Macaca fascicularis: one gene and its partner. The protein of the gene in region 1 purifies or fractionates together with the protein of each later gene. This does not show direct contact. Links are inferred from orthologs where the notes say so. Each region holds a gene or a part of one and is shown in the gene's direction. Other genes may lie near its edges.

Region 1 (4,260 bases):
AACACAGCATAACTCCTCATTGTGGTGAGAGGAGGGAGGTGACAAGGAGAGGAGGATAGTTCAGGTGAGGAAAATTTTCCAACCGATCTATTTGAATACCAGGTCATCCTAAAGCCACACCTGTCTCGTGGGTGGGGCAACACGTGGGGTAGACCATCGAGCCCCTCTATTCCCAGCGTAAAGCCAGGTAGCCAGAGCGTGCAGGGGAAAGAGATAGGCGGGAGAGACCCCTCCTACGACGCAGGATCTGCCTTTAAACGCCCAAAGTTCTGAAGCTTAAGAGGAATCGTGCCCTTCCCACGCCCGCGACCTCCGGTGCCCAAGGCCTCAAGCGGTCACGGTTAGGAGGGCGGAAGCTCCCCTTCCCCGCCCCGCCCCGGGGAGGAGGGTGCTAAGGCCCTCGGGAGGGAGGGGACGCGTGTTTACAAACAAGGGGGCGGGAGCGCCAGGAAAACCAGAGGAGGGTGTGGGGGAGGGGTTGCAGATAACGCGGTTACTGGCTCGCCTGCCCTTCTGCTGGGACACTCACCCCGCCCGCTGTCGCCCATCCCGTCCCGTCCAGCCTCCCCCGGCTCCGGCTCCGGGGTTTGTTGTTCTCCGCCTGCCACCGCCGCCGCCGCCGCCGCTGCGGGATCCAGCCAGGGCCGTCGCCGCCGCCACCGGGACGCGACCCCACAATGCATTTCTTTTCGCACCCCCACCGGCCCACACTGCCCTGCGGCATGCCGCTGAGGGAGGAAGGGCGGGCGAGCGGCCCAAGACATATCCCTGGCTGAGAGTAGGGATACCGAAGAGCTCCCAGGGATTCCCAGGGGTTGATCGGAGGAGTAGCTGAGCACGTAGAAGCCCCTGAGAGAAAGACTCTGGCCTGGATTGGGTAGAATTAAGCCCGTCGCTCTGCTCTGTACCAAAATGACAGCGCCAATGTGGCAGCCATCTTTGTACAGACGGGAAGTCTCGGCGCGAGTTCCCGCCCCCTCGTCTAGTTGGAAACCGAGGAGGCGGTCTCCTCCGGCCTGTTAGCCCGCCTTGCCCACCCTCCCCTCAAATAACCTCCACACTCGCGCATGCGCATCAGTGCAGGATGGATTCGTCGCTACAAGAGTACCGCCATATTGGTAAAGGCACTAGGACGAAGGTGGAACGGAACTTCCTGTTCTCGCGGGAGCTAAAGGCGGGACTGCCACGTCCGAGCAAACCGGGAAAGGAGAGGATCCCGGAGCTGGTGAGAATTCTCTGTTTTTCTCTACCATCCTTTCTAGGCCTTTTCCTTACCTAATGAGTCATAGAGACGAGGGCCCAGAGAGTCTGTAAAGTGGCTGGTGAAAGACTAGTGTCCCAGGGCCCTACATCCGGGAGGGGGTTCGGGATAAAGAGAACTAGTCTTGGGAACAATGTAGGTAGGTGGGAACTTAAGGGAATGGGAGAGCGGCCCATAGAGGTGGACGGAGGGCGCTATTGGAGTAAAGCTGACCCTGTGTAGGTATAGAGTTGAGTCAAGTGGAGTCACTGTCTCTGTCCCTCTGGTCAGCGTGATGGCCAGAGGCCTGGGGGCCCCCCACTGGGTGGCCGTGGGACTGCTGACCTGGGCGGCCTTGGGGCTTCTGGTGGCTGGACTCGCGGGTCATGACGACCTGCACGACGATCTGCAAGAGGACTTCCATGGCCACAGTCACAGGCACTCACATGAAGATTTCCACCATGGACACAGCCATGCCCATGGCCATGGCCACACTCACGAGAGCATCTGGCATGGACATACCCACGGTCACGACCATGGACATTCACATGAGGATTTACACCATGGCCATAGCCATGGCCACTCCCATGAGAGCCTCTTCCACAGAGGACATGGACATGACCATGAGCATAGCCATGGAGGCTATGGGGAGTCTGGGGCTCCAGGCATCAAGCAGGACCTGGATGCTGTCACTCTCTGGGCTTATGTGAGTCTCCAGGGGATGGGAGAGAGAGGGGCTGGTTCTGGATTGTTGGAAAACACCACAGTACTTGACCCTGACTCTCCCTCACCAGGCACTGGGGGCCACAGTGCTGATCTCAGCAGCTCCATTTTTTGTCCTCTTCCTTATCCCCGTGGAGTCAAACTCCCCCCGGCATCGCTCTCTACTTCAGATCTTGCTCAGTTTTGCTTCCGGTGGCCTCCTGGGAGATGCCTTCCTGCACCTCATTCCTCATGCTCTTGGTAAGTAACCTCTGACTTCTACCTCAAATCTAACCTATTTTGTTCTTTGGGGGAAAAGGGTTCTTTCTCCTTTATGATCCCTGACCTTTCGATATTCCCCCAAATATACACCCTTTGTGTCAGATATTCCCTCATCTGGTTTTCCCCCCATCTTCCAGAACCTCATTCTCACCACACTCTGGAGCAACACGGACATGGACACTCCCACAGTGGTGAGGAAGAGACAGATGGGGATGGGAGTTGGGGTGCTGGGGAAGGTCTGTCTCTCCCTATTCCTCACCTCCTGCACTTGAGGAGGAGGAGTCTGTAATGCACATCTCCTTTAATGTCTCAATGCCTCCATTCCCAGGCCAGGGCCCCATTCTGTCTGTGGGACTGTGGGTTCTCAGTGGAATTGTTGCCTTTCTTGTTGTGGAGAAATTTGTGAGACATGTGAAAGGAGGACATGGTCACAGTCATGGACATGGACACGCTCACAGTCACACACATGGAAGTCATGGACATGGAAGACAAGGTGAGCCCAGGAACAACTTTCCCGAAAGCTGACTTGCCTGCCTCAGAGTCTCCTCATCTTACGGCCCTCAGGAGGGAGAGGACATGTTGGAAGATCTGTTCTCCACGCTGACTAACTCTTTTCTTCCCTCAGAGCGTTCTAACAAGGAGAAGCAGAGCTCAGAAGAAGAAGAAAAGGAAACAGGGGGGGTTCAGAAGAGGCGAGGAGGGAGCACGGTACCCAAAGATGGGCCAGTGAGACCTCAGAATGCTGAAGAAGAAAAAAGAGGCTTAGGTAAGGGCCAGAGTTGGTCATAAATTTGGGCAAGGGACATCATCACAAATCACATGGAATATGTGCTGTGGGTAATGGCAGGTGTCTCGGAAACACTAAAAGACTGGGTGTGAAGTGGTCTCTGAGGGGAGGTGTGAGAATAACTGACCAAGACTGAACAAGTGGTGATGGAGGCCTCTGATCATTTTCTCTTCTCGTCCTGTACAAGATCTGCGTGTGTCAGGGTACCTGAATCTGGCTGCTGACTTGGCACACAACTTCACTGATGGTCTGGCCATTGGGGCTTCCTTTCGAGGGGGTCGGGGGCTAGGGATCCTGACCACAATGACTGTCCTGCTACATGAAGTGCCCCATGAGGTCGGAGACTTTGCCATCTTGGTCCAGTCTGGCTGCAGCAAAAAGCAGGTTGGTGATGTCTGCCAAACACAGCTACCTCAAACCCTTTATTTCTCCTCACTCACCCTAAACCCAAACAGCCTCTTGTTAGTTCCAAACAATTCATACTGTCATTGACAAGTCCTCTAGAAATGAGGGGAAAGAAGTTCTGGTTACTTGGTCCTTTAGCTCAGTATTTCTTAAACTGTGGTCTATAAACCATCTGAATGGTTTAGTGGAGTCTTACACACACACGCCTACTCAATCAGAAAGTCTGGAAAGGACCTCTGATCGCTAAGATTTTTCAGAAATTGTCTATTCTAGACTGCCCCCTCCTCTCTTTTTACTTTGATGTTTAGTTTCCAAATCCATGTCCCCTATACCTACACCCCACCAGCCACTTCTAAACCACTGATAATCTTTAGCTATTGGTGAGTGCGTTTTTCTCTTTTCTGCCCATCAGGCAATGCGTCTGCAACTACTGACAGCAGTAGGGGCACTGGCAGGCACAGCCTGTGCCCTTCTCACTGAAGGAGGAGCAGTGGGCAGTGAAGTTGCAGGTGGTGCAGGTCCTGGCTGGGTCCTGCCATTTACTGCAGGTGGCTTTATCTACGTAGCAACAGTGTCTGTGTTGCCCGAGCTGCTGAGGGAGGCATCACCATTGCAGTCACTTCTGGAGGTGCTGGGGCTGCTGGGGGGAGTTGTCATGATGGTGCTGATTGCCCATCTCGAGTGAGGCGTGAGATAAACTACTCCTGCCCCAAACTTCTACCCCTAACTCCAGGTCAGTGGTGTGTAGAGGTTGGGGGCCCTGGCCAGGGACATCTGCCAAAGGAAGGAACTGTAGACTGGGAGAATGGTTACTTTGGCATTAGGGCCTTCAAGGGCTGGCAGT
Region 2 (4,533 bases), on another chromosome or scaffold:
TTAATCAACTGTTGTTAGAATAATGTGGCATAACCAATAACCATAGAAATATCAGTGGCATACAACAAATAAGCATTGATTTTTCACGTCTTTGGTCAAGCTGGGATTAACTAACTTAAGCTAACCTTGGCTGCATTTGGTGCCAGGCTGTAGGTTTAGTTATAGTTTATGCCAGATGTCTCGTCTACTAGGATCAGAGGACTATCTGGGTCATGTTCTTCTCAAGGTTAGGGCCAGAACTCTCTGCAGAGAGGGCAGGAAAGTGTAAGGGGGAAAAGGAATAATGAGAGGTGTAAGTGTGTGTATGAGTGTGTGTGTGTATGTGTGTGTGTGTGTGTGTGTTTCTGGCTCTCTCTCTGTATATATCTATATCTGTCTCTCTTTTAGCAATGAAAACAATAACTTACTCAAAAGACCCACGTATACCCCACGTATACCTTGACAGGCCACTTCTAGTTATCTGCACAAACTGAAGTTCCGTATTACCCAAGTCAAAGAGGCAAGGAAGATATTATTGAAGACTACTGCTGTCAGGAAAGGGGATAGAACTCTTCTAAGCTCAACTCCTCTAAAAGAAACAAAGGAGTGCAGAGTTTTTAACAGCTATTTTGGGAAGATCATGGGCCACCTGAGTTTTCTGATTGACTTTACCCAAAGGAAAAGTAAATTTTCTCTTCCATGACAGGGGGTGGTTTTACAACTGGAAACGAAAAGCCTACAGCAGTTAGGCTCCTATGCTCTCACACAAAATAAGAGATGGCCCACTATCTTCCCTGCTGATTACCTTTCAAAGTCATGGCTTTCCATACCATACCCTTGAGATAGTTTTCAATTACAAAACTGGCCAGAAGCTTTAAAAAATATTTACATCTGAAAAGGGAAGAGAAAGAACTTACAACGGTAAAGTTTTCTAAAGTAAATGCTCTTCATATATATATATGCACACACACACACACACACATATATGTATATACACTTCAAGTTCTACGGTACATGTACACAATGTGCAGGTTACATATGTATACCTGTGTCATGTTGGTGTGCTGCACCCATTAACTCGTCACTTACATTAGGTGTATCTCCTAATGCTATCCCTCCCCCTACCCCACGACAGGCCCCGGAGTGTGATGTTCCCCATCCTGTGTCCAAGTGTTCTCACTGTCCAATTCCCACCAATGCGTTAGAACATGCGGTGTTTGGTTTTCTGTCCTTGCAATAGTTTGCTCAGAATGATGGTTTCCAGCTTCATCAATGTCCCTGCAAAGGACATGAACTCATCACAAGTAAATGCTCTTTAGAAAGGGAGGTCAGGGATCCATAGGCAGGGAAAAAAGCCTGCTTAAAGCTTGTAATCAAGCTGAGGAAAACTAAGCCCTTCTGGCTTACAGATTAAATGTGTTATTGCAGTTTGACACGAATGAATTCAGAAAATGAGTTTCCAGTCTCTCTGGGTTCCTGCATGAGAGGGTTGCTGTACATGTTACACAATCTCTTTTTGTCTACTTACTTTCTTAATAAGCATCCTTGACCGCTCCTCACTAACAGTGAAAAGTGCAAAGCTTTCAGAACGCTCACCTCCTCGCTTTTTACACAAGTGCGCTTGCGCACTAGGCGCTGGGGCTCTGACGTCACCAAGTGCACCCTGCCCCTACCAGTTAGCAACCGAAGGCGTCCTTAGCAGCAGTGGCCGCTGAGATGTACGAACTTCCGGTCCTCCAGGCAGCTGCCACTGCTATAGCCTCTGCCACCTGCCACGACCGGGCCTCTCCCTGGCGTTTGGTCACCTCTGCTTCATTCTCCACCGCGCCCATGGTCCCTCTTGGAGCCAGGGTGGCGGGCGCGGCAGCTTCCGGGTGGTGAGAGCGCGGTCCGGGAACGATGAAGGCCTCGCAGTGCTGCTGCTGTCTCAGCCACCTCTTGGCTTCCGTCCTCCTCCTGCTGCTGCTGCCTGAGCTAAGCGGGCCCCTGGCAGTCCTGCTGCAGGCAGCCGAGGCCGCGCAAGGTCCTGGGCCTCCTGACCCTAGACCACGGACATTGCCGCCGCTGCCACCGGGCCCTACCGCTGCCCAGCAGCCGGGCCGTGGTCTGGCTGAAGCTGCGGGGCCGCAGGGCTCCGAGGGAGGCAATGGAAGCAGCCCTGTGGCCGGGCTTGAGGCGGACGATCACGGAGGGAAGGCCGGGGAAGGCTCAGTGGGTGGCGGCCTTGCTGTGAGCCCCAACCCTGGCGACAAGCCCATGACCCAACGGGCCCTGACCGTGTTGATGGTGGTGAGCGGCGCGGTGCTGGTGTACTTCGTGGTCAGGACGGTCAGGTGAGGCAAAGCCTCGGTGGGGCACCCCCGTGGGCCTGAGATACGCAGGCCAGTGATCTCCAGCAAGGCTGACTTCTGTGACCCTATACCCTTCCCCAGCATCAGGGACTCGTGCCTAAGAATATGACATTGACCTTCTTAAAGGCCTGTTACCTTTGGAGCAGTTTAAACCTATAACTAATTGCTGCCATTTGTTTATAAATTAGTGCCTTACCTCCAAATCTCTTCATCTGACCTATGACCCACGTCAGCCTCAAAGGACACCCTTTCTCTGAAGTGAAGATAATCTTTATTCCCTAGAATTTTGACTACTCTGTCTTGTAATATTTCTACTTTTCTAGTCTACATTTTTGTATACCTAACTGGTCAAAATTGTGCCTATCAGAATGCAAACTCTTGAAAGACATGATATCTATTTAGTAGGTTTGTGAGTCTTACAAATTATTTGTACAGTGCTGCCACTTAATAGGAAATCAATATATATTTGAGTGGATTAATAGTAATATGGGGGTGCCTTATGGATATTTTATTTTTATAAAATTCAGGAGAAGAAAAGTTCTTCCTTACTATCAGTGTTTCCTAGTGTTGGCCTTTAATCTGCCACCTAAGTAATTCACTTATACCTAATTAGTTGAGAATCACCTTCCTGAAGATTTGACATACAGAGCCAAGACCTCACCATTAGAAGCCAGCAAAGACACAAGGTGAGGGAAAGCTGTCTAGCAGTTTCCTTCATTATAACATAAGTGTAGAGGGTAGGTTTGCAGATTGTGTTTATTGTTTTCAAAATTACTTCACGTTTTTCCCATAATTACCCTCTGTATTGTAATTTAACATATTTCTTTAAACTGATTATTTAAAACCAAACTTTCCTTTTAAACAAGTCGTTATTATCATGAGTGGAAAACCAACATCACCATCACTTGACTGGTTAAAAAATAGTGTAAGCCAGTAGTTCCTGACATGTGGGCCAGGGAACCACACAGTTGGGAGTTTCACTAGACCTCTTCAGGGGACCTACAGTATTAAAACTATTTTCAAAATAATACATTCTGTTACAGGCTTATAGGGTACAAATAGTTCACTGATATTATTTCAGATTCCACATTGCAACTAATCTTTAAGACACTGCTTGTCAAGCTTTGGTGTAGTAGTATCATAAAGGAATAACCACTCAAATATAAAAAGGCTATTACAATGTTTCTTTCCATTCCAAATTTATATCTGTGTGAAGATGGAATTACTTTATATGCTTCAACCAAACAACACATTGCAAAGGATTTAATGCAGAAGTAAATATAAAAATCTGTTTCCTATTTTTTGTTTCTATTTTTTATCTACTCCTATCACTTTAAGTCAGATATTAAAGGGAATTGGAAATAAAAATCTAAATGTCATTCTTTTTACCTTTTTTTTTCTTTTTTGAAAAATAGTTGTTTTTCATAAAGGTTATGTTAACCTGTAATGTGCTTACTATTATTTTAAATCAGTTGATACGTATAGGTTTTCTCAAGTTTAATTAATATGTTAAAAGTTGACATGTGTAATTCACATAAATATAAGTTCTTTTGAGTTCCTGAACAATTTTAAGAATGTAAAGAAATCCAAAACCATGAGTGTAAGCAATATTTGAGAACCACATGTGTAAGCAATATTATTTGAGCTAGATATTGTTGGTTCACAAAGGCCAGCAAATCTGCACTCACACTCTAAGTGTTAAAAGAATATTGCCACCAAATTGAAACTTTCTTCTTAATGTAAAGAAAGATTAAAAGAATATTGAAACAAATTATTTTCCTCACTATATAACTGTTATTTACTGCTGTCTATATATATTTTCTATAAAAATGCATGGCCCCTTGAGTGTTATATCTCTTATACATGTAAATTATAGAATAATGATAATTTGGGGGGAATATTCCTTGCTTTTTTTTTTCTTTTGCTTCCACCTTTTAAATAATTTTAAATACACATATTTATTACCTTGATTTTCTGTCATTATTGTTGTAAAACTTGGACAGATACAATCTTTCCAATCTGATCCTATTGCATGATTTGGTAACATGATGTGTGTTAACAGCCAAATTCTGAACTATGGCTAATAAAAACTGCATTCTTTAACCAGCATCTAACACATTCATGCAGTCCAAGTCCTACATTTAGTTGGCTGCCTGGCATCCAAAGCTTGAATGATGCTAACAGTGTCTGCGCAGTGTTCAGA

The links.
Region 2: the proteins of SLC39A7 (region 1) and FAM174A purify together in Homo sapiens (co-immunoprecipitation; 3 studies listed by BioGRID and IntAct, with this or other methods). This does not show direct contact. The link is inferred for Macaca fascicularis from reciprocal best matches to the Homo sapiens genes SLC39A7 and FAM174A.

Annotation. Positions count from the first base shown.
Region 1 is NC_088378.1:138,500,846-138,505,105, reverse strand, and holds the start of SLC39A7 (zinc transporter SLC39A7), read left to right. Parts: upstream 1-1,176; 5' UTR 1,177-1,225; intron 1,226-1,531; 5' UTR 1,532-1,535; coding exon 1,536-1,946; intron 1,947-2,034; coding exon 2,035-2,203; intron 2,204-2,361; coding exon 2,362-2,415; intron 2,416-2,552; coding exon 2,553-2,717; intron 2,718-2,849; coding exon 2,850-2,990; intron 2,991-3,198; coding exon 3,199-3,395; intron 3,396-3,828; coding exon 3,829-4,101; 3' UTR 4,102-4,260. Other genes in the region: RXRB (retinoic acid receptor RXR-beta), read right to left, coding at 530-764. UniProt on the Homo sapiens protein: Transports Zn(2+) from the endoplasmic reticulum (ER)/Golgi apparatus to the cytosol, playing an essential role in the regulation of cytosolic zinc levels.
Region 2 is NC_088380.1:106,952,690-106,957,222, forward strand, and holds the start of FAM174A (membrane protein FAM174A), read left to right. Parts: upstream 1-1,692; 5' UTR 1,693-1,878; coding exon 1,879-2,312; intron 2,313-4,533.